Tribolium castaneum: one gene and its partners. The protein of the gene in region 2 interacts with the protein of the main gene of each other region in a pairwise test. Links are inferred from orthologs where the notes say so. Each region holds a gene or a part of one and is shown on either strand. Other genes may lie near its edges.

Region 1 (5,402 bases), on a different chromosome or scaffold from region 2:
AGCGGCCCGAGTGGCTAACAGACAAGGAGCTGAGTTGGCGGGCAAACCAGCTATTTTTCGAACACAGAGACATGTCCGTCATTGAGGTGAACCTAAATAACGAGTCGTACACGAAACTGTACCAATTTCTCGCCGATGTTTTAACAATCCAACACAACGTTGCGATTTTTCACGGAAGTATGTCCAAATAATTGTTGTTTCTTTACCATTTGTTCGCAGTTGAGTCGCAGGAATACGGGGCTGCGGAACTTATGATTAGAGACTGCATGCACGACCTGACCGAGTTGAAACTTTGCGTTGATTGTTACCGCCATAGTAATGAGAAAATTAACGCTAAGTGGTTCTGTTTGCCGTGCAGAGTGCCTCATAAGTTAGTTTGGGCCAAACAAAAGGGCTACCCCTATTGGCCTGCTAAAGTGGGTAGATGGTCGCTTATATGTGTTTAGTAATTCCGCGTTTTAGGTGATTCAAGAGACGAGCACGCATTTTGATGTTAGGTTTTTTGGGGGTAAATACGAAAGGTCGCTTCTGATCAAATCGTTAATTAAACCGATTGAAACGCCGCAATCGAAGTTGCAAATAAAGACGTCTTCGGCGTTTAACAAGGCGGTGGAGGAGTTAAGGTTCCATCAGCGCTTGATGCAGAACCCTGACGAGCTCCAGAAGTTGATCAGTTCGTCGAAAAACAGGGTCAGGAGTTTAAATAAGCAGCGAATTTCGACGTTGAAGAAGTCGCTTAATAGTTCACTGGAAGTGAAAAAGAGAAATTCATTTGAAATGAATGATGTTTACAAGTTTGAGGATAATCCATTCGGTCAGCAAAATTTAAGCCTAACGCATAAACGTAAAAGCAGTTTTTGTGAAGGTAATTTCGTTGTCTTGTGTTACTTGCGTCTTATTTGATTAATTAGGAAGTCCCGTGTCGAAAAAAAATTCAACTAGTTCCGTGGAGAAAAACGAGGAAGTTCACAATACTTCCGATAGCGTTATACACATATCAGACGGCGAAGACGATGAGTATCCCTATTACGATTATTCATCGGTTTCTAATACAAAGTAAATATGTGTGTCAGGTGTTTCCGAGTTTAATTTTTTTATTGTTAGCTATAATGGTTCATATGAGCAAGTTTCAAGTTCCACTGAAAATTACAGATTCCAGGACAGAAGCCAGGAAAATGGGATGCAGCAACTTGATCACCCTTATAGTGATTCAGTTGAAAAGGTTTGCTAATAAGCGACGTTACAGTAACTTGCTCACGGTTGGTTTGTAGATGAGAAGAAGACTTGAATGTGTGAGTGATAAAAAAGAGCTTATAAAGTGTGCAATGGACTGTATGCAAAGTGAGATTGATCAAATTACAAATAATCACAATGATCATTTGAAAAGGTTGTTTGAGTCCCACAATGCGCAGATATCGGAGATTAAGAAAAAGCAATGGGTAAGAAAGATTGGCCAAAATGAGCGGTTGTAATTCATTCATTTCCAGTGCTATAATTGCGAACAGGAAGCCATTTATCATTGTTGCTGGAACACGGCGTATTGTTCCCAAAGTTGTCAACAACAGCACTGGCAAGCAGAACATAAAAAAGTTTGCAGGCGTAAGCGCTAGTTTCATACAAAAATTAAAAAATGTTATTTTGTGTATTATCTATTTTTATAGTTTGTTTATCCTCTAATATCATTATGTAGAGTAATGGGAACATTGGCGTAATTTTCATTGTTTTGGTACTTTTTAGGACCAAGTTACGAAAGTACAATTCTAGTTAACTTTTTAATTGTAGGCAATAACTTGAGTTGTAAGAGTTTATCACATAGTGTTGTTGAAACTTCCAAATCATTTTTAAACGTTGTATCACAATTGAAAGTTATGCCACTACTTCATTGTTTGTTCTTATTTTATGGTTTAAAATAGTATTGCTTATAAATTTTATGTATTTGCAACGGAAGATACAATAAATGGCAAACGACCTGTTCTTTTATCTGCAGCTTTGTTAAATTATATGCATGTACAAATAAAGCCCTTATTTCTTGGTGCGTTTTTCATTCATCAGTCACTTCCACAAACTCAACGTTTTGGAAAGCATTGGCAATATTATTGTGTTTCTCCAAAAACTGCAGCTCTTCCATTGATAACTGTTCCCCCAGTTGTCTCAATGCAGTTAATATTTCAGCCTAGAAAAATGAATAAGTAATCACGTCTGAAATTGCTAGGTAAATGACCTTTTGTCTGTTAGTAGCTTCATCACTCAATTTATTAAGTTTACACTCTTGCTCAATACTGGATAATCGTTCTCTCAACTGCTTTGGTTCTCTTTTGCCAAAAAGTCTGATAACCTCTGGCGTTTTAAACGCTTCTGATATGGCAGCTTGTGTGGCCTTGAAAAATCGTATTTGATTTTTTGAAAAAATAAAGAACTGTTTTTACAAGTTGTACGGCTCCGAGGGCACTAACAAGTGAGATATCGCCTTTGACTAGTTTCGATAAGCTATCGTTTAATTCCTTTAACTGATCCATCGTGTCCTGTTTAGTCTCCTCATATTCCTCCGGGTCTAAATCCGCTCTAAAAATGCAGTTTCATCATTCGGGAGCATTGAAACGCGGTGACGACTAACTTGCAATTTTCTAAATCTCCCAGTTGTTCGACTAGTCTGTCCAGTTGATTTTCCAAATTTTGTTTCAGTTTCGCGGTTTCGACTTTTCCATAGGAGGTCATTTTGGTTGATTTGCAACTCAATTACTGGAAATTTGCATTTTTTTGTAGGTTAGATCAATTTCTGGACAATGCCCGTTATTTTTTCAAGTGAGCGGTTGGGTTAACTTTCGACGTACGGCGTGTTTGGTGTTTTTGTTGTTGGTGGGGGTTAAGTGAGAGAGGGACGCCGGGCGTGCGTCTTTGCTAAGGAAAAATTGTTTTAGTTGTGTAATTTTCCGTTGGGTGCGCTAGGTGTGCTTTTCTAGCAACGTGAAAGCCGCGTGTCAGTTTTAATAAAGTTGTAAGTTTAATTTAAATTTGAAGAAGTGACATTGGTTAAATTCGAGTTCGCATTAAGTTCGGGAGTGTGGAGGCTGTTGTCCGAATAGTGCAAGCACGGCCCGGAGTGCGTCACGAAACTAAAGAAAACAATCATGTTTTTGGGTTAAAAGTCCGCCATCTTGAAACATATCTTAACCTTTGATTAGTAATAGTGGTAGTGTTATCTAAGTGACGATTTCGAAAAATCCAGCATCATCAACATCGAATTTCGGTCTTTGGGTGCGACGATGTTGCGAAGCTTGTGAACTGGCCGGAAATGTGTGTTGTGCTGTCAGTTCTGAACATATGCAGTCGCTGAGAACGGATACGCGGCGGCCTCTGTGAGGGACGCGGCGCCCCAGGGCTGACATGAGCGGCAACCAGAAGCAGACAGCCGGGAGGGGGCCCCAAAACCAGGCCTACTCCACCACACTGTATCCTTTGAGTTACGCCCATCTGTCACCCGACTGTCATCCCCCCTGTCTTAATTGTTGCTGGCGCTGCATTGTTTTGAGTAGAATGTGAACGCCAGGCTGGTAAACTTTCATTAGTTCACATTCACCTGTCTATGCAGGCCACCAACCGCAGTCATTACCAATCCATATGGTGTTCCACACAAATCACGCCCAATAATTACAATTCGCGATTTGTTTCAATTTCGAACTCGCGTGACGGGGCTCCAGCTTGTTGCATCACTATGTGAAAAGTGAAGTGGTGGCATTGGATGTCAAGCGAATTCGCTGCTCTTTCCCTGATTTAATTACATAATTGTGTGTCATATTGCCACGCACGATAAACGCAGGTAAGGTCAGGTGTGACTTCGCCCTAGTTCATTACCGACACCTCCTGGTTCGGTTTCGAGTGCCTTTTTACCAAATGTTTTTTTGCTGGGTTTTCCCCGAATTTTTTTAAAAATGACCAGTTGAATGCGATGGTTGATGGTTGATCCGGAGTTGTGGTTGCGCATGCGTTCCCATTGTTCCTGGCGGCGGAACCAGGAACCAAGTCCCCAATGTTGCCAGGTCTGGTGATCTTTCACCAGATTTGGTGACTTTGATGCCAATCTTGTGAAATTCTGTGATTTTTGGCAACGGAAAATTTTAATCTATTAATTTATTCTGGATTACCTTTTAGCATGGGACGTTCAGAAGTATTGCGGAACCGATAAGATAAGAGGGTGTTTTTTTGAGCATTTCCTCTCGAGACTTTACTAATCCGAGTGGAAAGTCTTTAACTTCTTTAATAAATAAGTAGAAAATGTAATGTTTATATTTTTAAGTTTCAAGCGTCCCAAAAAAGCATTACTTTGGGCTAAATATGACATAGCTAACATTGGTTAGCTAAAACCGCAATTATTTTCAAAATTTTCGTTAAAAGTAACCCGAAAATTTACTATTTGTTACTAGGATGCAAAAAAGCACCAAATTGGAGGGAAATGGTATTTTTTAGTCAGTTTCAGTCACTAATTTGTTCTTAAATTAGAGACCTTGCAAAAAGTCACAAAAATAAATCGATGCATGTTTCGTTTGATTTATTATCCCGGTTTGGATCTAAACTTTATCGGAAATAAGCTGAAAAATTAGGAAATTTTTTAAAAGATTAATTAGTTTGTTCAAAAAGTAATGCTTGTGTCCTTACCAGGAACAAATCTGGTAGTTTTTCGGCGCGGATCTGGTGTAGTAATTTTTTTGCGCTGGCAACACTGCAAGTCGCACAGTCGATACAATGGCGGTGTCGCCGAAGTCATAATTTTTTGACTGACAATCAAGTTTATGCTAAAGACAGAAACCTCGTGTTCGCAATCGAAAAAAATCGCCGATTTTTCCGTTTATTTAACAACGAAACGTAACGCGACAAGTTACCAGCACCGTACCATGTGATGATTGGTTTGCGTGGTGTTTGGTAAAACGCCCTTATCGATTTTTGGTGTTTGGTGCAGGGAGACGTGCTTCGCATGTCCCAGCTCCTCTTCGGGTTTTCTTGTTGTTGTTTTGAAAATCACCGAACGTGTTCAGAAACTCACCCCAATGCAGTTTCGTCGTACCAATGACTGTGCGTTTTCTTCTCGTAAGTCGGTGGTTGGAAAAGTGGTTGTGGTGGTAGTGAGTCACACGACATTATTATGTCGAAGAAGTTTGATGCTGGACAAAAGCCTGTATTGATGGGTTATTATCGTGTGAGGGGAGTGACTTGCGTGGGTTTTTGATGCGTTATTTTGCCCAACTCGAGTTATTTGTCGCGTGAATGCGGCGTTTGTGATTTTTTTATTTTGGAATTTTTCGACAAGATGGTGTCGCGGTACGTGACCAATGGTCCTGTCAAAGAGGGCATATGCTTGCTACCACCCACGCATTACAGGATGATGCCACCGCAACGTAAGTTTTTTG
Region 2 (6,397 bases):
CCTATTGTGGGGCCTGGACTAAACGGTGGTCAAGTCATTTATGGAGAAGTATTATCTCTTTTTATTTATTTTTTTTTTGGTAATTGTGGGGATTTTAGTTGTGTAAATTGAACGATGGGTGGGTTAATGCGTGGGATGACGAGCAGGAAGTGCCCTATAAATATTCCGGTGATCAGTGGATTGGTTACGATGACCCACAATCGATTGCACTTAAAGTATTTTTACGAATGAATTTGCAAAATTGTGATCGCATTTTTAGGTTCAGTATGCCAAAAGTAGAAATTTGGGTGGTGTGATGATGTGGGCTGTGAACCAGGACGATAAAGCCGGGGCTTGTGGCGACAGGAATGGGTTATTGCAAGCCATTAAGAATAATTTGTAAATTAGGAAAAATACTTACCTATTTCCTATTATTGATTTTTTTTTTTGCTCAAACGGAAAATAAAAGGCAAATTCGTCAAAAAAACTCGTGTTTCGTTAGAAACTTTAATATAGGGTGATTCAAAAGAGCTGTACAATCTCTCGGGTGCTGATAAAGGACATCAAACTAAATTACAAGTTCTTATGATAAAAAATTGTTTGAGGCTTTTTTCACGAGATATAGCTCTTCAAAGTTAAATTATTTGCATTAGGAATAGTCACAGATGGCAGCCCGATTTTTAAAATAAACTGGCGATCTTTTGATCTAAACACTTCAAGGATATCATCAGAAAACGTCTTCGTAACCCACCAAAATCTTTATTTCAACCCAAAAAAACTCTCGTCATTACAGAATCCTTTTTTATTATAATAATTCAAAACTATTTCACAAATGAACTCAAAATGACAATACAAATAAAAAAAGAGTGCACATTGAGCCTGAATATTTAACTGTATAAATCGTCTTCAGGATCATCTTGGAAGTTGCCCTGATCGCCTCCTGTCCCTCCTGGCGCAGCCGAGCCTCCCGTTCCCGACGGGAACCGGAAGTTAGTGCCAAAACCACGCGACTGTTGCAGCGTCTGCGCGAACATTTCATACTTCCTGATGTCATTATCCGACACCGATCTTCGGGCAAATCTCATCGCCTCCTCGAAATGGGCGCGAGTTATCTCCGGAACCGGATCATCCTCATCCAACTGAAACAATTTCACATTCTCATTAAATTTGTGTTTTATTGCAAGAAAAAACTACTCACATCCATTGCGCTGTTCGGGTTCATGGCCCTCTCGCGCTCCCGCCGAATCTCGGTTTCGATGCTTTGGCGAATCGCTAATTTACACGCCCTTTGACAGATTTCCGTCAAATCGGCACCTGAGAATCCGTGAGTCACTTTAGCTATGTAAGTAAGATCCACGTCTTTTGCAACGGGGGATTTACGCAGATTTGCTTTGAAAATCGCTTCGCGAGACTTTTCATCCGGCAGCGGGATATAAATCAATTGATCGAGACGGCCGGGACGCAAGATTGCAGGATCAATGATATCTAAAAATTAAAAAAATAATAGAAAAAAATCGATAAAATTGGCGGGTTAATCACCAGGTCTGTTTGTGGCTCCGATAATAAAAACGTTCTTCTTTGCGCCCATTCCGTCCATTTCCGTCAAAATTTGATTAATGACACGGTCGGCGGCGCCTCCGGCATCCCCCAGGTTGCCTCCACGTGATTTTGCTATCGAATCCAACTCGTCGAAGAAGAGGACGCAAGGGGCGGCCGATCGAGCCTAGAAAGCCAAACACACATTCGGAAAATATTATTAAATTCCTCTGTCTGCATGACTTGGCAATAAAAAAAAATTACATTATGTTTCAGAGGAGAAAATATTTTAATGCCGTAAATAACGTCATTTTTGTTCACGCGTTGGCAAGATTTTGTTACACATTACACAATGAACGCCATAATAATCTTTTTATTTTTTTAATCCCATTTTTTTTCAATTTTACTTAAATTCAGTGCGATTTTAATTACACTTCGTATTCAAATTTCAAGAGAAACAACAAACCTTATCGAAAATGTCCCTAACGTTGGCCTCCGACTCCCCAAACCACATCGTCAACAACTCCGGCCCCTTGACCGAAATAAAATTCGCTTGACATTCATTCGCTATAGCCTTCGCCAACAAAGTCTTCCCGCAACCAGGTGGTCCATAAAACAACACACCACGTGACGGTTGCATGCCAAACTTCAAGAACTTATCAGGATGCTCAACCGGATACTGCACCAATTCCTGCAATTCCTTCTTAACATTCTGCAATCCACCGATATCGTCCCACGTAATATTCGGCACTTCGACCACGGTCTCCCTCAACGCACTCGGACTCGACTTGGTCATAGCATAACGGAAATTCTCCATACTAACAGCCAACGAATTCAAAACCTCCGCATCGACTTGATCGTCATCCAAATCAATCAGATCCATTTTTTCGCGGATTTGCTGCAACGCCGCCTCCGAACACAACGACGCTAAGTCGGCGCCCACGTGACCGTGCGTCTCGGCGGCGATTTGCTCAAGATCAACGTCGTCGGCAAGCTTCATATTTTTGGTGTGAATACGCAACACTTCCAGACGTCCGGTGGCGTCAGGAATGCCAATATCTATCTCGCGGTCAAAACGACCGAACCGACGCAAAGCCGGATCGATTGAGTTCGGGCGATTTGTGGCCGCCATCACGATAACATGCGAGCTTTTCTTCATGCCGTCCATCAGTGTTAACAATTGCGAGACAATTCGGCGTTCGACTTCGCCGTGGGTTTTTTCACGTTTCGGTGCAATCGCGTCCAATTCATCGATGAAAATAATAGCCGGTGAGTTTTTATCGGCTTCTTCGAACGCTTTCCTTAGATTACTTTCGGATTCGCCGGCTAATTTACTCATAATTTCGGGACCGTTGATTAAGAAGAAGAAAGCACCGGTTTCGTTGGCCACTGCACGTGCGATTAAAGTTTTACCGGTACCTGGAGGTCCGTACAAGAGGATACCACGTGGTGGTTTCACGCCAATGGCCTTGAAGAGCGACGGGTGGCGTAGAGGTAATTCGACCATTTCTTTGATTTGTGCGAGTTGTTTGCGACAACCGCCGATATCGTCGTAGCCGACGGCGTTCAAGGCTTCCTCCTCTTCCTGGGAAAAACAAGATAGAAAAAAATATGATTGTCACTCACTTAATTGGATTAATTTTTATTACTTCTCGTTTGATCGGATCGCCGTCACAATGGATGACGGTATCGGGGGCGACGATACAATATGGTGACGGTTCCGTTTCCACCACTTTGAATTCAACGGCTCGCATGCCACCACGGACGATGAAAACGTCGCCTTTGTGGATTGGTCGATAAGCTTCGAGGAAGTATGGTTTTAAGTACACCTCGAAGAGATTTCTACAAAAAAATATAGTTTTTTTTTGTAAATCACAGTGACTATGTTTCGTGTTTTTGTTTAATTTAGTTGCTACGTCACAAATAAATTAAGAAACATTGCTCAATTGTTTGCCAATACAGACGTTACGTCAGTTTTATAAACATCAAAGAAAAAAAAACGATTCTCTTTATTAACAAACACGATTTATTTTAATACCTGAAATAAACATCGCAAAAACGTTGGCAGCCCGAAAAAATAAAATAAAACCAATAAATTTAAGCCGCAAAAAATTGTCAGATTTGTACCGAATTTTGACAAATTTTTATACCAAAATACACAAGATTGAGAAAAACATGCTAAGATAAATTTAAAACAAAATAATGAAGGGCAATCTGTTATTATGTCACTAATTAACATAAGTTGTGTGCTTTCCTTGCAAATTATTTTGAATTGTTACTTATTCAGTCACTATTTAAATAAATAAAATAACAAATAAAATACAACAGTGAATTGAATTTAAAAAGGAATAGAACCAGTTTTCTATTTATGTCTACAGTCTGTCTCTTTTTACTGTTATAGGTACCAAAAAACTGTGAGGAACAAAGTTGTAAAAATTATACAAAAAAAATGTGCTTAAATCTTGAGAAAAAAATTTGTATTATCTTCAATGAAAAAAAAACTTGGTAGGTTCGGAGACTTAAGAAATATTGACTTTTTTCGGTTATTTTGTAATCAAAAGCCGATTACTATAAAAATACGATAATAGTCGCACAGTAGATAGTCATAATAATGAGTCACTAGCGATCAAATTGTGGGAAGTACCGATCAACATTCATTGGAATCACCGGATGTATAAGGAAAACAAGTATAATTTATTTTAATAATTTTTCGAGAAAGTTGTAGAAAAATAATGCGTGTTATTATTTGATAAAATCGTATGACTCAAAAATTACAAGAACGATCCCCAAATAATTGCGATAATGTGACAGTCATGTCATGACAGTTCAGCGACTCCATGCCAGCTAAGCAATTGGAGGAATTCAAACCGCGCGCTGTGGGCGCGCTCTCTCATTGGTAACCGGCAAACGATCCGTCTTTCCCATTGGCCACAGGACGGTTTCTTTTGTTTAATTACTTCTAGCCCCAGAGAGGGGCTTTTTCGTGGTAACTCACCCGACGAGCCCTTCGACCGTGTCATCGATGGGCAAAACGTGGATCCTCTTCCCGTATTTGACGTCGGGACAGGGCTGGATCCAGACGACGTCAGAGAGCCTAACCCGTAGATTATTCCTGACGATCCTGTTCATCCGGATCTTCTCATCGGGGCAGTTTTCGTCGGCCAGCACAATGCAGACGGTCTCTTTCCGCCGCTTCCCTTTCAGCAACACTGTATCGCCTCGGAACAGCATCAGCTCGTCCATTTTGGCCTGCGATAGCGCCACGACGGAGTTGTCGTCGTTGGTGGCCTCCTCCACCAGGAGTCTGTTGGGGCGGTCCTTGCGGCGCAAGATCGCAGTCGCCAGGTCGTCAGGACTGCAAGTTTAGCCAAAATTAACTATTTCCTGCCCCTTGGTGACATGGGCGAAATTCAGACGCCGGCCCTACCCACCTTTTACCCTCGGCCATTATTCAACGTTCGAAGCTTACACTAGACGAAAAAACCGAAACTTTTACTATTTAACACAGGCACAATCTAACGATCGGTTCTGAATGACGTAGCTTTTCTTTTGCTTATTCAGGATTTTGACAGAGGACAGCCAGGGGCCATCTTACCAAACGAGTAGCGACACCTACAATACCAGAAACGGCCAAACTGGCCCTAGTCGGCCCTATCGCCACAGGGGAACACGCCGAACGCGAAAAAAACAACACGATTTGGCACTTTTGACACGATTCGCCGCCGGAAACAGTCAAATTTGGCCAAATTTGACAAAACCAGTGTCAAGGCTAGCGCCGCCCTCTATGCCCCAACTTTCGAACAACGCGGTCATGTGACTTGCTGACTTGATCGAAACTTAATCAGTTGATACCGCTGATAAGGGTTTTGGCACTTGGCGGGACCGCTTTTATCACGTTATTTCCATCAAAAATCAGCAGTAAAGACCCGCGATAATTTAGCTAGATTCTGAGGCTTGGGGCAAAAAATGGGGGCGCGCCCTCTCTTGATACGACACGCAACTGTTTGACAATTTGACAAAAACAATAGTTTTTCACTTGTCAGTGTCATTTTGGATTTAAGGCTACAAATTAAAAAAATAGGATGTAAATATCGTTAGGTGTGCACTGGAACATTAAATCACCAAAATATTGATCGTGACAATGGCCGGGATCAAAAGTGAGTAATTTCCAAATTCAGTTATTAGTCATGCTTTAGTCTTGATATTTCACTAATTGCGCCTTTTTCATGTGCCCTGGCGATTGAGCAGCGTGAGTATTGGCAGCCCCCTTGTTGCCCCTTGTTAATTAGCGTTTGCAGATTGGTTACGTTGGCCTTTACGGGTTCTATAGGCATGACGATGGTCATCCTGGCCTGCAGCCTCCCTCAATACAAGTGAGTTGGCCCTACTGTAGCCTCAATTTGAGCCCCCGTTGCAGGTTATGGTGGCCTTTCTTCGTGGTTTTGTTCTACGTGTTGGCCCCCATTCCCACTCTCCTGGCACGGAGGTACACAGAGCACCAAGGCTCGAGTAATTCGTGTCTCGAGACGGCGATTTTTCTCACAATGGGGCTCATTGTGAGCGCCTTTGCCCTGCCGATTGTCTTGGCCAGGGTGGCTGTTATCCAGTGGGGGGCGTGTTACTTGACACTGGCCGGGAACGTGGTCATCTTTGCCACCCTTCTCGGGTTCTTTCTCACGTTCGATCAAGACGATTCTGATTATAATATGTGGTAGTGTAATAAACCCAAGATGTACTCATAACTATTTTACTTATTTAAATGTATGTAAGCTTAATCTTTTGTAAAGCTAATAGATAGGTTTCCCCAACAAAGTTGTTTCATTATAGTTACTTATAATACGAGTGCGAAAACACGTTTTCGTATAAAATGGTTTAAAATGTT
Region 3 (6,585 bases), about 2.7 Mb from region 2:
ACAGAAAAGTGACAAAAGTTAATCTAAAAACCATTCAATTATTCAATTACACATCGTACTAGTTTTGCATAATAGAAAGAAGGAGTTAAAAAATGACTTTCTGAAGACATTATAAGAATAATAACAGAAATAATAATAATAATGTTTTTTATATTTTGTGTAAGAAAGAAAAATTTCTTGGAGGCCGTCTTTTGGGCGCTGAAGAAGCCGTTTCTCGTGCTAAAAACAATAACCGTTACGACTCCACCGCAGTTTATAATTGACAGTACTTAGTGTTGGCAAAGTTAATTTGCATAGTTAAAGCGTCCGCATTCATCTCCTTCAAATTGCCGACGAGATGGATGCACTGGGTCCATTTTCGCGAAGATATGAGTGTAGAGGGAAACACTTGGAGTTAAATGTGTCATCTCTCATAATTGCCTTCTTGGATTGTTTCATTAGCGACATCGTTAAAACTAACGACTCTCGAGTTGCAAGCGTGTCCTCGGAAATTATATCTCGTTCGCTCCAGGCTTGACGTTGCGTCGTCACGATCCACGAAAAACTTGGCCTATTAATTTCCCCATTTTAACTTGCAATCACTTTTCTTTTATTGATTCATTCCACTTAGGACATTATTTATGCAAAGGTCGGGCCTGGGAGTGCGCAAGTTAGTGCTCCTAATGTACTAGTCTGCATTCAGATCGGTGTTCTAGCGTTATAGTGGTAATTAACGTTGTGGTTACCGGTAATCAGTCTCGAACCACTTCGGAACGACTCTTCTGGGATTCGCATTAGTTAACAGCCACTATGTGTACCAATTTACCAAGCCTATATTAAGAGAATTAATTCACAGGAATTGCCAAAAATGCCGAGAGATGCTAGAATTATGCAAAACGGCTAACTTACCTACGCCAATTCATCACATTCGTAACAACTAATTACTAATTATTATTATTTAAATTAAAAAATCAACAAATCGATAAATAAGAAGTTCGCGCTGTGTAAGTTTTTCTTAGGATGTTAACAATGTTAGGTCGAAAAACCGTTCAAAATATGATTTTATCCTTGAAAAAGGCTGCAAAAATGTCTTACCCGAGGTCTTACCCAAAATTACCCAAAGAATTTGCTTGCAAAACCGTTTTTATTTAGGTCGAGTAGTTGTCGAGTTATGATATTTTTATTTTATAAATTCAAAAACTATACCTAATCAAAGCCAATCAAAAAATTTGGCGGTTTAAAAAAAATCCGTGCGACTTGTAGTTTATGAGTTTTGTCACTTATTGTCCTTCAAAATTTTTAAAAAATTGGTAAAAATTAATATAATTATTTTTTTCACACACTCAAAAATTTTAGACTCAAAATAATTTTTATTAAAAAAATTAATTAAGCTTCTCTTTAAACGAAACTATAACTAGAATCGTTATCCAGTTTTTATCATTCGCTTGATGGTAATTTAATTTAAGTCTTAACTGGACAATGATTAGCGTAACCCAATGTAAAAAAATCTGAGCATTTAATTGCGAAGTAAATTAATTTATTCACTGCTAGAAACTGGCGCTAGGGCTGCAACCAACAATACACACGACATGTGCAGACTGCGGGGAGGTTTTTTCGGTTGCATTTTTCTCATTTTTTTAAAGGTGGTGTGGAACATTTAAAGACAGAGTAATACCAGGAGTTTATGAAACAGTTTCTTAGGAGTTACTCTGTTGGCAAAAGGAAAATCTTTGCCTCCTGAATAGGTACGAGTACACTTATGTAAAATATTGTTAATGTGTTATGAGAAAATAAAACAAGCAATAAAAAATTCTAAGTATTTTATTTACATCAAGAAGTACATAACTAGTGAAAAATATTCCAAGTAAGTAATAAGATAATTTACATCTGCTGGGTAGAATTACCGTTCCAGGTATTATTCTCATCATCACTATCGTTTTTATTGGACAAACGATGAATATTCCCCTGCCTTCTAATCACTGTTGTTTCGCCACCCCTTCGAACTTTTGGTTGCCCCCTAAAACAATTCCTCAATAGTACAGGCAGATTTTTTTAGGCCCTAGATTAAGATTGCAATAAAAATATAACTCAGGATAACATAAGTAAAAAAAATGGCAGCAAGCCATGTTTTTTTGACGTATGACATCCACAGCCTTCTTGATGAGTAACTTGAAGAATAGTAAAAATTGTTAACTTCAGTTATAAATCTTAAGAAGAATAACAAACCTGTGATCACTAGATGACGCTTCAGCGGCTCGCTTATTATCGTTGCTAGTAGATGGCGCAGGAGCCGATCCAAACACAAAAGTCTTCAAATAACCCAAAAGAGTCAAAATCGGGGTAATCAAAGTCCACAAAAATCCTGTAAACCCTCCTTCTGTGTTAGTAGCAACGACTCCCCTATTAACCGGCAAGATCAAAATAACAGCAGTTGGAACAAGCCCCAGTTGCAACAACGTTTGACTATTCTCAGCTTCAGTAAATTCTCTTCGAGGGAAAGTTGTGGAAAGTGTGTAATTGCTAAACGGTAGATGCAAATTAGCTTTAATGTGAGCATGGACACTTGCTAGCGTGTCACTGCTCGAAAAATCGTTCGTTGCCGTGCTGCCATCTGGCATTCGGAATTGCAATCTGGCTGTGTTTGTGTTGACAGGTCTTGGAGATGACTGCGATTGCGATGAGTGAGCTTGTGGTTGAACTGTGGCTGTTGGAGAGAATTTTGCCGCTCTTTCAGCCTTGTCTTGAGCGATTTGAGCCAAGACTCGTTCACGAGCCGCCTGACTTTCGCGCTTTTCTCTTTCACGTTCTTCAAGGACTTGCTTCAGCTCTTGGTCCTCCTGCCAACGTTTCAACTGTTGCACGTTTTGGCCCATTTTACGACGCTCAAGCTCCTTCTCGCGCTCTTTCTGCAAGATGTTACGCCATTATTTCACTGAGGATTTTGAAGTTACAAGTGTCAAATGGACTTCAATTTTGACAAATTAAGACCAATCAATAGTTTTCGAGAAAATTGCAAATAAAAGCAAAAATTGGTCAAATTTTGAAAAATTCATAACTTAAAAACTACTGGGAATTTGGCGATTTTCTTGACACCAATCGATTCTCCGGATCATTTTACATGAGACAGAACCAAAATATTGTTGTTTTCGTAGCTGAGTTATGAAAACATCGTTTGTTTTATGAAATGTTGCCAACTTAAATTCAGCCACACATTACCTCAAACTCCTCCTTTCTTTTCTCTTCTCGCTTCAGTTCAACCAACTGCTTGGCCCTTTCAACCTTTTCTTCAACTGTTAAATCCTCTTTTCCTGCCACAGCTTGCTGACTGGTTGAAGGCGTTTCGTCTTTTTTCATGGTGCAAACGTCGTTTTCGCACACAACATTTTGCGCCTGTTCTTTGGTGATAAAATCTTGTGATTGTGAAGCAATCGGAGAAAGTCCGCCTTTTTGCAGAATCGAGTTGAGTTTTTCTTGAAAAGTTTTAACATCATTTACTTCAGTCACAATCTCAATAGGCACTCCTTGCTTCCCAATAAAATAAACCGAAGGGGTTGGAACTTGCTTATCTGACTGAGTTAGGGACAAATCAATTAAAAGTATCAACAAAACTTGGATACTACAAAAAAAGGATACAAATTTGACTAAACTGCTGATAAGGTACAGAGTCGGCTTCGATCTTGATTGCCACAAAGCTATCGCTTCCTAATATTTTAACGATTTCCTCCTTGTCGATTAATTCGGTTATTTGCGCTGACTTATCGTCTTTGCCTAAAAACGGGCGAAAAACGACATGGAGAGGTTAGATAACGTTTGCGTTTCTTACCGTAAACGTAAACTACGAATATTGCCTGTTTGGCTTTCGAAGTGACGATTGCTTGGGCGATTTCACCTTTAAACCAGTTCATTTCGATTAAAACTATTTTTTTTTAATAAAAAATGAGTGTTTGTGACAACTGACGTGTTACATTGACAACTGTCATGTGGCGCTAGGTGCATAGAATATGCTAGGTGTCACAAGCAACGCGCCAAAGTTAAATTTTACGAACAGATTTGGACAGAAAATGTGGCGCTAATTAGCTAAACATCTATGGGGTGTTCAGTGCTATAACGGAAAAAGTCCAGTTTTAGTCATTTTGAAAAACGTAAATTTTTGAAACCACCTCTAAAGTGGCCGAAATAGCAAATAAACAGGCAAAATGCTCTTAAAACTTTATTTTGGGTCGGGTATTGAAAACTGTTCTTTATTAGTCTAACGGAAACCATGGTACAAGGTACCGCAGACATTTGTATCCCGAAAATGCACTCTTCAGTGGTGTTTCCTTCTCAACGGTGCACATCATGACGACTTTATCCACTAATTCGTCACTGTGCACAGATTGTCTAAGCCTTTCCTTTAAAAGATTACTATTAAAAGTGCCTTTGTCTGTCATTAAATTCGTTTTGGTGAGAATGCAATGAGCCATTTTTGCTATTTCAGAATCTTTGATTCTTTGTCCACCTAGCGCAACACAATTTGCTGTATCAGGATTTTGCCCTTCATTTTCAAGAGCAGTGAGTGTCTAAAACAATAAATTTTAACTAAGATTAATAACGAAACAACGATTTTCTTACCGGGATTAGAACGACGACGGTTATTAAACAATAAATTTGTTTCATCGCGGTTTACAATAAATAAGCGGAACAGCCCGTCCGTAGCTTTTAAATATTCAAGTTGGTAAAATTAGCACTTTTATACTGGCCATTACAGATTGCAATCAAGATTGCAGCAAATAAATATGGGATATTATTATTTAACTGAATAGCGATAGAGTCACAAATGACTTATTAACTAGGAAAACTATAGTTTTTTATATGCAATAACAGGTTCAATAAAAATTTAAAACAAGATGTTTCAATGTTCCAGCTTAGACTCGCACAATTTGCCAAAAAAATCTTCGTGGTAGGAATTACATTAAAGTTAATTAAAAATGAAAAAAAAACAAATTAAAAAGTGCTATTAAACAACTATCCTGGCCAGATAATTTGTAATATTTAATATACAATGTGTTCAAAAATGGTTGTTCATCAAGTCGACTATGGAATTCAAACTCAATGTGCCGCTTCATTCACAATACAATCCAACCCTTCACATAAAAATTATAGAGCGTATTTCTTCTGTGTAGGTATAAATATGCAGACCGTAATTACAAAAACAAAATAATGCAACACAAAACATAGCACACTGTACTATAATTAATTAAGAATACATTAAATGTACTGTCTCGCAGCTAACACTGTTTCAGTAATTTTTTTCAATTAGTTGCAACAAAATTGTAAAAAATTTCACATTAATTTAATAATAATAATAATAATAATAATAATAATAAAATAATGTTATTTCCAAGCAACTCTGTTTATAAAAATTTTATTTTATTTCAACAATGTTTTACCTACACAATAATCATAACGTGTAAATGTTGACTTAAAGTTAGGCAGGAAATGGTCCAATTTTTGTTTAAATCGCCCAGTGGCGTCCATTAAGGCTGATTTAATATCGCTGTGGATTATTATTGACGACGTTTACTGCACATTCGAGCGGCGCCTAACTCGACGGTGGCGCCGCGACGACGGTGAGCGTCCAAATCATCCGAAATAAGCTGTTTTGCTTGGCCTAATGTGGGTTTTACTTGTGCTGGAACACCACTCGAAGAATTTACAAAATTTGCCAACGTAAAACAACAATCACTTTTTCTAGACACTGCTACACCCCAAGTAAGTGGAGACTTTAGCTAATTTAGTGCATGCAAAATTACAATAGAAAATTTTTCCAACAACGGACAGCTTCGTGAAAAACCATCTTCCGGGTTTGAATTCCTAGTTAGATTTCTTATCAAATTTTGGTGACGTAGTCGTGGTTACAAGGGATGTTCGCAGTAGACAGAGACACCCTTGGGTCTGCAGATCAATACGGGGCGTAATTTTACGCGTAGTCACCCCACACGTTCGGACTTGGAAAACTATTTAAAATTAATCGCTTCATTTTCACACCGGAAGCTATCATCGTAAATTTTGCAAATTTACGAGGGCTTTTTACTGGGTTATTAATTTTCCGATGGTTTGCGAAAAATTTGCTGAGCTCCTTTTTTTGTTGAAAGTTGAGTGGATCTGATTTTTAAGGGATGAATCGACAGTTCGGTTCGAGAGCTGCTGGTTGGAGTGCACTTGACCGAAATGCCAATCAGGGTGAAAATTTGGAGCTTTTACAAGCATTAAATTCAGTTACCTCATGAAATATAAATTTGGTGCACGTGTTTTCGGTGTTATCGACTGATGAAAATTGGGGGTGGGGTCGGGTTTACTACTTAATGTTTCACAATTTTTGTAGTAAAACTGCAAACTTTTTATTTTTTTTAATAAAGCTTCAGCTGATTCAGAAATAAATAAAATATTGAAGTAAAAAAAATGAAAAAAATTAAACGATAGAAGATAAAGGCACTAAAAACTAACCAAAAAAAATCAATACAGTAAAACCTCTCAACAACGGACACCGACGAGGAACTTTTAATTGTCCGTTGTGGAGAGGTGTCCGCTAATGGGAGATGGAAATTATGGTATCGGTTTTATTAC
Region 4 (6,761 bases), on a different chromosome or scaffold from region 2:
ATAGCAGGGTCATAGCGGTGACAAACTATCAAATATTTTTTGAGGTTACGAAGTGTTTAAATTATGAGTTGTTACAAAAAATACAGATTCACAAAACAAGAACTAATAAACGCAGAATCAAAAACCTAACGAAACGCAAATCACAAAACACAATAAACGAACGGAAAATACTTGCGATTAACACCGATAACACTTTTCGGACAACCATGCGACAACGACTATAATTTACTGTCAATGTCAGGTTGACAAATTCGTGACACTTTGACGGTGTTGTCGAAGTGCACATGTAAATTAATGTTCAAGGATACCACCCTTAGATAGCTCTTAGCTGTTTAAATTTGCATTGTTTTTGATAATTTTTTTATAGCTTTGTGTTGGTAATGAAAAAATGAAATTGATGACGCACACGCAAATCGAGCTGACCGCCACTATAGCTAATGTAATTTATATTTTCAATGAGAGATCTAATCATTAATAAGAATAACTATTTTACATTTTTGTCAACCTTACTGAAAAAAATTATTTGTTAAAATGCGACGATGGCATTTTTATAGCTTTGAAACAGTGCAAAAAAAGTTACATCGTAATAAGACACACTACGATGTAATTCTTTTTTAGACGCTTGTTGTAGCAAATAAGGAAGGCTAGGCAGATGATAAATATGTATTTGTTATGCATTAACGGAAAAAATAATTTCCGTCTTGTTCCAAAAACAATTAATTTTAAAACAATAAACAAATAAAACACTATTTGCGTCAATAGAAAATTTTGCTGTCAAATATCTTAAAAGCATTTGAATGTAGTAAATATCTGTTTCGTGTAAAAAATTTAACACAAGATTTATATTCCAGTAAAGAGTTTCTCATTGGTTACATCAACACAAATTGCATTTGAAGACACCATGGCTAAAATAGGGAATGTTTATGCTGTTTAAAATCGTTGCTAAAACTGAAGCTGCGAACTGCTACATAATACCTAATATAAAAATTGAACTAAAATACAATGACTTCACTTTCGCTTGGCTTCACCTAAAATGTTGAACATTTTTTGATAACATGACTAAAGATACACAAAAATGTAATGAGACACAATTAACATCACATATTTAAAGACGCACCCACCTTTTCGTCACTACAAATTAGAGCACCTTAAACTGTCTTTAAACTATTGAAAATAAAGGTATAACGTCTAATAAAAGTCAGAACTAATTTGAGTTTAACTCTAATAAGGGTCGGATTATAGAAATCGAATAAAAACTTAATCCAAGATTAATCTAATTCACATAAAGTTTACTTTGCAGTGAGCGTCAATTTAAGGACAAATTTGATCACAATTAAAGGTTCTGTAAACTAACCATAATATACAAGGTGAGTCCCCTAAAAGTATGTAAATAATGCATGTGAATGTTGGCAGACTTTTTCTACAATTCCTTACAGTTGTTTCTCGTGTATTTTTCATTATCTCAAGCCATTGTCATTATACAGGGTGATTCAAAAGTACCGGAAAATCTCTCGGGTGCTGATAAAGAACATCAAACTGAATTAAAAGTTCCTATGACAAAAAATTGTTTAAGCCTTTTTTCACAAGATATAGCTCTTCAAAGTAAAATTTTTAAGTTATGTTTTTGGTGGTTCAGATCATATTTTTTGACTTTAGTTAGATCAACAATTAATGTCTTATGGGAAACAAAAACAACAAATTGATACCGTTGCTAAGGAAAACAAATTAAACAATACATCAAAATTAAGTTGCTTGGAAAAAATCTGACTATCCACCACCCTGTATTAATGTATCCTTTACTTAACTGTTTATTTAATGTGGTAAAACATTCAAAGCCAAAATTTCGTAAGGCATTTATTAAACTTGTTATTGTATGATGCTTTACACCTGACCCTCAAAAAAAAGATCCTTAGTTTCATTTTACGTTATAATAAATCGTTTTAATTTTTATGAAAAATATTTAATTCCTAACAGAAGTATTCAGAACCAAAATACCTAACTACATTAATTAATTTAAATATTAATTAAATGAAATTTTATTATTGTAAAAAATACACAAAAAATACGTAAAAAAATGGCGCTATAAAATTACTAGTTTCTTAGTTTTTAATTCTGACTGGAACGGCGCCATCGAGTGATAATAACCATCACTATACCTTGTCAAATAAAAAATCTACTTTTTAATTTGATAACGTTAAATGCAAATTTTGCGTGTTTACCATTTTACACGACACAATTATTTTGCCAAATGAAGCGTCAACTGAGTAAATTACCACACAAATGCAAAAAACTACTAACACACTCACCTTGTATAAATTTTAACATAATACCAATTTAAATTCTTGAAAAGATGCAATATAAATTACAGAAAAATAGTATAAGTATAGTATAAATTACACAAAAAAAGTTTTATAAGTCTATAAGCACGAAATGTTTTAGAGCACGACGAAAGACTGCTCCAATAGAATAAGTGCCACAATTAAGTCTTAACGAGTGTAATATACTATTTTTTCTGCTTTCTATTTTTGTGTTTGTGTTTAGTTTAACTTATCAAAAATCTGTCCAAACTATTTCCTCTTAATTTTGTCAATTATTCAGGCTTTATCAATAAACGACTTGATGCTGTTGACAAATCACACACTAAATTACAGTGATGACTGATGACATCCAGCTCAGCACTGCCAATACAACTCCTAAAAACTTACTAAAAGGAGTTGCACAAAAGTTCTCTTTGTGAAACTATGAATATTTTGTGAACCAAAGTAGAAAAAATATATTTTAAACAATTAGATTTCTGATCGAAGAGTAGGAGACTTAAAATTAAGTTGGCAACACTATAATAGAGGATCAATGTACTTGATTCACTTTTTTCAAGAAAAACGCCTCCAAAAAAAAATTGTATTTAGTTTAACAAATGGTAACAGTGACTTTGATTGTATGTATGTACATTTATTTAAATACTTGCATCTGTTATGCAATGTTGCCAACTTGATTTCAAAAAACAAGTCCAGTGTAACTATAAATTTAATTGGCGTAAGTTACCTGCAAAACAAGTCAGCATCGTTGTGGTCTTCTTTATGCAAATAAACTAAAAGGAACCGTAACTCTCGTTTAGCATCATTAAGGGCATGCGTGAAAGTTCCCTGGTAAAAAACTGGATGGCAATCTCCATACTTCTCCTGGTAAAGATTAATAAACCCAACAACATCATCTAGCGGATTAGTCGCTAAAACAACCCCCAATTACGCCAAAAAACACCTCAATAAACCCTCCCTTACGCCTTTCGGGCTCGAACCGAATCATCCTCCTCCCCAATTGAAACAGGGCCAAAATGGTACTATAGCAAATATTGTAGAAAAAATTAAACATAGCTTTGGCAAAACCCAGAATGCCGCCACCGCCCCCATCCCGAGGCATCGAATAGTAAATGTGTTGCCCCAAAAGGTCGCTCACAACCGCCGGCGGTCTGCTCTCCGTGGCGTAAATCGAAGGTCTGCCCTCTCTGATATTGAGCTGCTCCTGGACGGCCACCTCCAGGTTCCACTGGTGCCTCTGCAGCACGTCGCGGCATATCGTCATGTCGTCGATGCCGGTGAGGTCTTGCAGCTGTAATACTTTCTCGGTTTGCTCGCTCGTGAGCCCCAAACCAGCGTTGTCTCCGAGGTAATTCATTGTGAAAACACAGCGCGGCCGGGATAATCACATGTGCACATAAAAACGTGGAATTTTTAGATACGGTGCGGTGTCACACTGCATAAATTACAAATGCGTGAATTGATACACTTATTGAGCATTACACTTATTTTCGAAACGTCACTTTGTCTTGAAAGTTTCCACAGAAAATTGGGGGAGTCTCGGCGCTACCGGTGAGCGTTGGCAGCACTGCGCGAGTGTTTTTCGAATTTATTAAATTTTGAATCTTCCCAATTGTCCCAAATCCCCTTTTACCAACGTAAAACACCCCATATTTCAGGTAATTCGACTAGTTAATTATATTGACGGTTTTAATGACATGAGTATTGCTGGTTGCCTAATAACTGTTTCAAAAGTATAAAAACACCAACGTCGCATTTTTTCTCAAAAAATATTAGTTGTTTCAAATCTATAAAAACGCCAACGTCGCATTTTACCAAATTCTTTTTTTAAATAAGCTTGACAAAATTTCAAAACAGTTATGTATTAATGATTAGATCTCTCATTGAAAGTGTTAATACATTTCCTATTATTATGTGCATGAATAATTTATAGCAGCTAATTTTGAAAGAATTTTGAGACAGCTAATAGCTGTTGTAAATTATTCACGCACTTCAAAAAAATAATGTAGTTTATAGTTTCAATAAGAGATCTAATCATTAATAAGATAATAAGTATTTTATAATTTTATCAATCTTATTTAAAAAAATTATTTGGTAAGATGCGACGTTGGCGTTTTTATAGTTTTTAAACAGCTAATACATTATGGGATTCAAATTAAACTATATGCAAATTAATATTATTTAACACTAAAAATTAAATATTAGTTTTGCTCCAATTGTTCTATAATTTTAGTTTTGAATTTTTAATTCCTAATTTTCTCTGCGTGCACGCCTATCAACGCGGCTCAATGTTAGCCAATTGCAACCTGATATGGTGATTTCGATGAATTCAAATTTCATTGATCAAGTAAAGAATAGTTAAATATAGTTAATTTTTTTTTTATATAATCAACTGTCAGTGTCACAATTTTGTTAAAGACCAGACTATATCACCCTGTGCATATGTAGAAAAACATTATTTAAAGTATTCTTTTACATGAATCATCAGACCAAATAAACAATAATTATTATAATTATAAGAATACTATAAGCACCTACTGGAGAAAATCCATTTTGAGAATTACCAGTCTACTTTGTAGAATGTCAAATTTTGTACATACAGGCTGTCTATTTTTCAAACTCCACCAGGGTATCTCAATTATTATAAGAGATACGTGGTCGGTTGCGCATTTTTATGCTGAACAATTATCGGAAGGAAAATTTTATGCGTCATTTTTAGTTTCTGAATTATTCAGAAAAACCACAAACTTGTAAATTTTGTTTTTAATTTTTCAAATGAAAACTAGAAGAACTACATTCGGTTCACTTTCATAAAAATCATTATGATGGAAATTGGGTACTCTTAGCATTAAGTTTTATATGAGTTGTCGTGGTAACAGGTTAGTTAATTCCACTACAATGGTTTTTATGAAAGTGAATCAAAAGTAGACGTTTTTAAGGACATTTTTCAGGCACTTTTTTACAAAAAGAACGTCTACGCTAGGCGGAGCCAATGCGTACTTGGTCGAGTGGGGAGAATGAGCAGTGGCGTATCAAAAAACTATCCTATAGGAAAAAGGGGTTTGAGTTTTAAACTTTTTATTATTTATTATTTCCTGTATTTAATAATAGCAATATGAGATAATAAGACATCACACATCTGATTCCTACACGTTAGTTGTTAATTTCATATAAACATAAAGCAGAGATGTCCAATAAATAACAAAAACACAATGTGAATGAGTAAAAACGTACAAAAAAGATTTCTTATGTTACCTTTACCATTAATGATATTGAATCGTTAAAAATTACGATGAATTCTTGATACACGAAAATACACACCACACCATTGCTCCATGGACTCATCCGCGACAAGTTTTCATCTCTGCGCACTCCCACCACCGTGGACGTTCTGTCATTTTCATGACTCTACTTATATTTTTCAAACGTCTTTTTGTTCCTGATTAAAAACGCCATCGTCGCATTTTACTAAATTTTTTTTTAAACAAGATTGATACAATTTTAAAATAGTTATTAATGACTGACTAACCTTTAATTGAAAATGTGTAAATTATATTAGCCGTTATTTTTTGAAGGGCATGAATAATTTATAACAGCTAATTTTGAGAAAAAATGAGACGTTGCCGTTTTTAAACTTGAAACAGCTAATACAACATAATTTTCAAGAAAAATTTAGAAAAGAATTTAAACATGAATCTACAACATATTACATAATTATAATACCGTGGAATCGAAAATTAACTGAATTAAAGCGAACCTTGCAAGGGAAGTGTAACTTTGGTCACAATTATTTTCAAAATATGGTGTTGCAAAAGACAGTAAAGGAGACTACGGAGATGTCCAGAAATACTGTTACTGAAAAATTTAGGAGACCACTGATCAATACAGAATACTAGAAATTATGAATATCAGTTTCCTTTCTTTTGCGTGCACTTCCAAGTGTAATGTGGGTCTAGCTGATTCAAAACTATAAAAACGCCAACGTCGCATTTTACCAAATTATTTTTTTTAATGAAATTATAAAATAGTTATTAATACTTAGATCTCATTGAAAATATAAATTACATTAGCTGTTATTTTTTTTAAGTCCACGAATAAGTTATAACAGCTAATTTTAAGGGAAAATGCAACGTTGATGTTTTTATAGTATTGAAACAACTACTCCACTATTGATTGTGACATTGACAATTCTACAATTCACAGAAACAGAGTACACATTGTTTTTTGTTATTAGCACAGTTATTAGTGTTTTTTTTACAATAAATGACTGTTTATTTTTATATGTTTCTGATACCGATCCTTATTTAAACTTGAGTTGGATTAATGGTGATAATTGATAATCACCGTTTTAATCCAAGTTAAAACAATTTTAAAATCTATTGTAACCATAACTTTAAATGATCACATTGTACTTTTTACCAAGTCTTTTGAGAATACTTGCTTGTC

Evidence for each region.
Region 1: the proteins of TER94 (region 2) and protein LZIC interact in binary tests that used the Homo sapiens proteins (3 or more experiments, as listed by UniProt). The link is inferred for Tribolium castaneum from reciprocal best matches to the Homo sapiens genes VCP and LZIC.
Region 3: the proteins of TER94 (region 2) and UBX domain-containing protein 4 interact in binary tests that used the Homo sapiens proteins (3 or more experiments, as listed by UniProt). The link is inferred for Tribolium castaneum from reciprocal best matches to the Homo sapiens genes VCP and UBXN4.
Region 4: the proteins of TER94 (region 2) and Faf2 interact in binary tests that used the Homo sapiens proteins (3 or more experiments, as listed by UniProt). The link is inferred for Tribolium castaneum from reciprocal best matches to the Homo sapiens genes VCP and FAF2.

What each region holds. Positions count from the first base shown.
Region 1 is NC_087398.1:12,806,045-12,811,446, forward strand, and holds protein LZIC, read right to left. Parts: upstream 2,863-5,402; 5' UTR 2,716-2,862; coding exon 2,615-2,715; intron 2,563-2,614; coding exon 2,427-2,562; intron 2,378-2,426; coding exon 2,222-2,377; intron 2,174-2,221; coding exon 2,042-2,173; 3' UTR 1,916-2,041; downstream 1-1,915. Other genes in the region: zinc finger MYND domain-containing protein 11, read left to right, coding at 1-177, 220-416, 463-865, 912-1,056, 1,105-1,222, 1,272-1,439, 1,488-1,610; eukaryotic translation initiation factor 4 gamma 3, read left to right, coding at 3,385-3,449.
Region 2 is NC_087396.1:21,354,653-21,361,049, reverse strand, and holds TER94 (transitional endoplasmic reticulum ATPase TER94), read right to left. Parts: upstream 5,266-6,397; 5' UTR 4,964-5,265; coding exon 4,947-4,963; intron 4,871-4,946; coding exon 4,511-4,870; intron 3,358-4,510; coding exon 3,165-3,357; intron 3,101-3,164; coding exon 1,982-3,100; intron 1,703-1,981; coding exon 1,519-1,702; intron 1,465-1,518; coding exon 1,178-1,464; intron 1,119-1,177; coding exon 867-1,118; 3' UTR 766-866; downstream 1-765. Other genes in the region: acidic mammalian chitinase, read left to right, coding at 1-48, 99-215, 260-382; leptin receptor gene-related protein, read left to right, coding at 5,848-5,888, 5,933-6,230. UniProt on the Homo sapiens protein: Necessary for the fragmentation of Golgi stacks during mitosis and for their reassembly after mitosis. Involved in the formation of the transitional endoplasmic reticulum (tER).
Region 3 is NC_087396.1:24,042,733-24,049,317, reverse strand, and holds UBX domain-containing protein 4, read right to left. Parts: upstream 3,975-6,585; 5' UTR 3,885-3,974; coding exon 3,803-3,884; intron 3,748-3,802; coding exon 3,613-3,747; intron 3,546-3,612; coding exon 3,196-3,545; intron 2,886-3,195; coding exon 2,206-2,885; intron 1,997-2,205; coding exon 1,861-1,996; 3' UTR 1,783-1,860; downstream 1-1,782. UniProt on the Homo sapiens protein: Involved in endoplasmic reticulum-associated protein degradation (ERAD). Acts as a platform to recruit both UBQLN1 and VCP to the ER during ERAD.
Region 4 is NC_087399.1:11,510,788-11,517,548, reverse strand, and holds the start of Faf2 (FAS-associated factor 2), read right to left. Parts: upstream 3,824-6,761; 5' UTR 3,673-3,823; coding exon 3,279-3,672; intron 3,227-3,278; coding exon 3,043-3,226; intron 1-3,042. UniProt on the Homo sapiens protein: Plays an important role in endoplasmic reticulum-associated degradation (ERAD) that mediates ubiquitin-dependent degradation of misfolded endoplasmic reticulum proteins.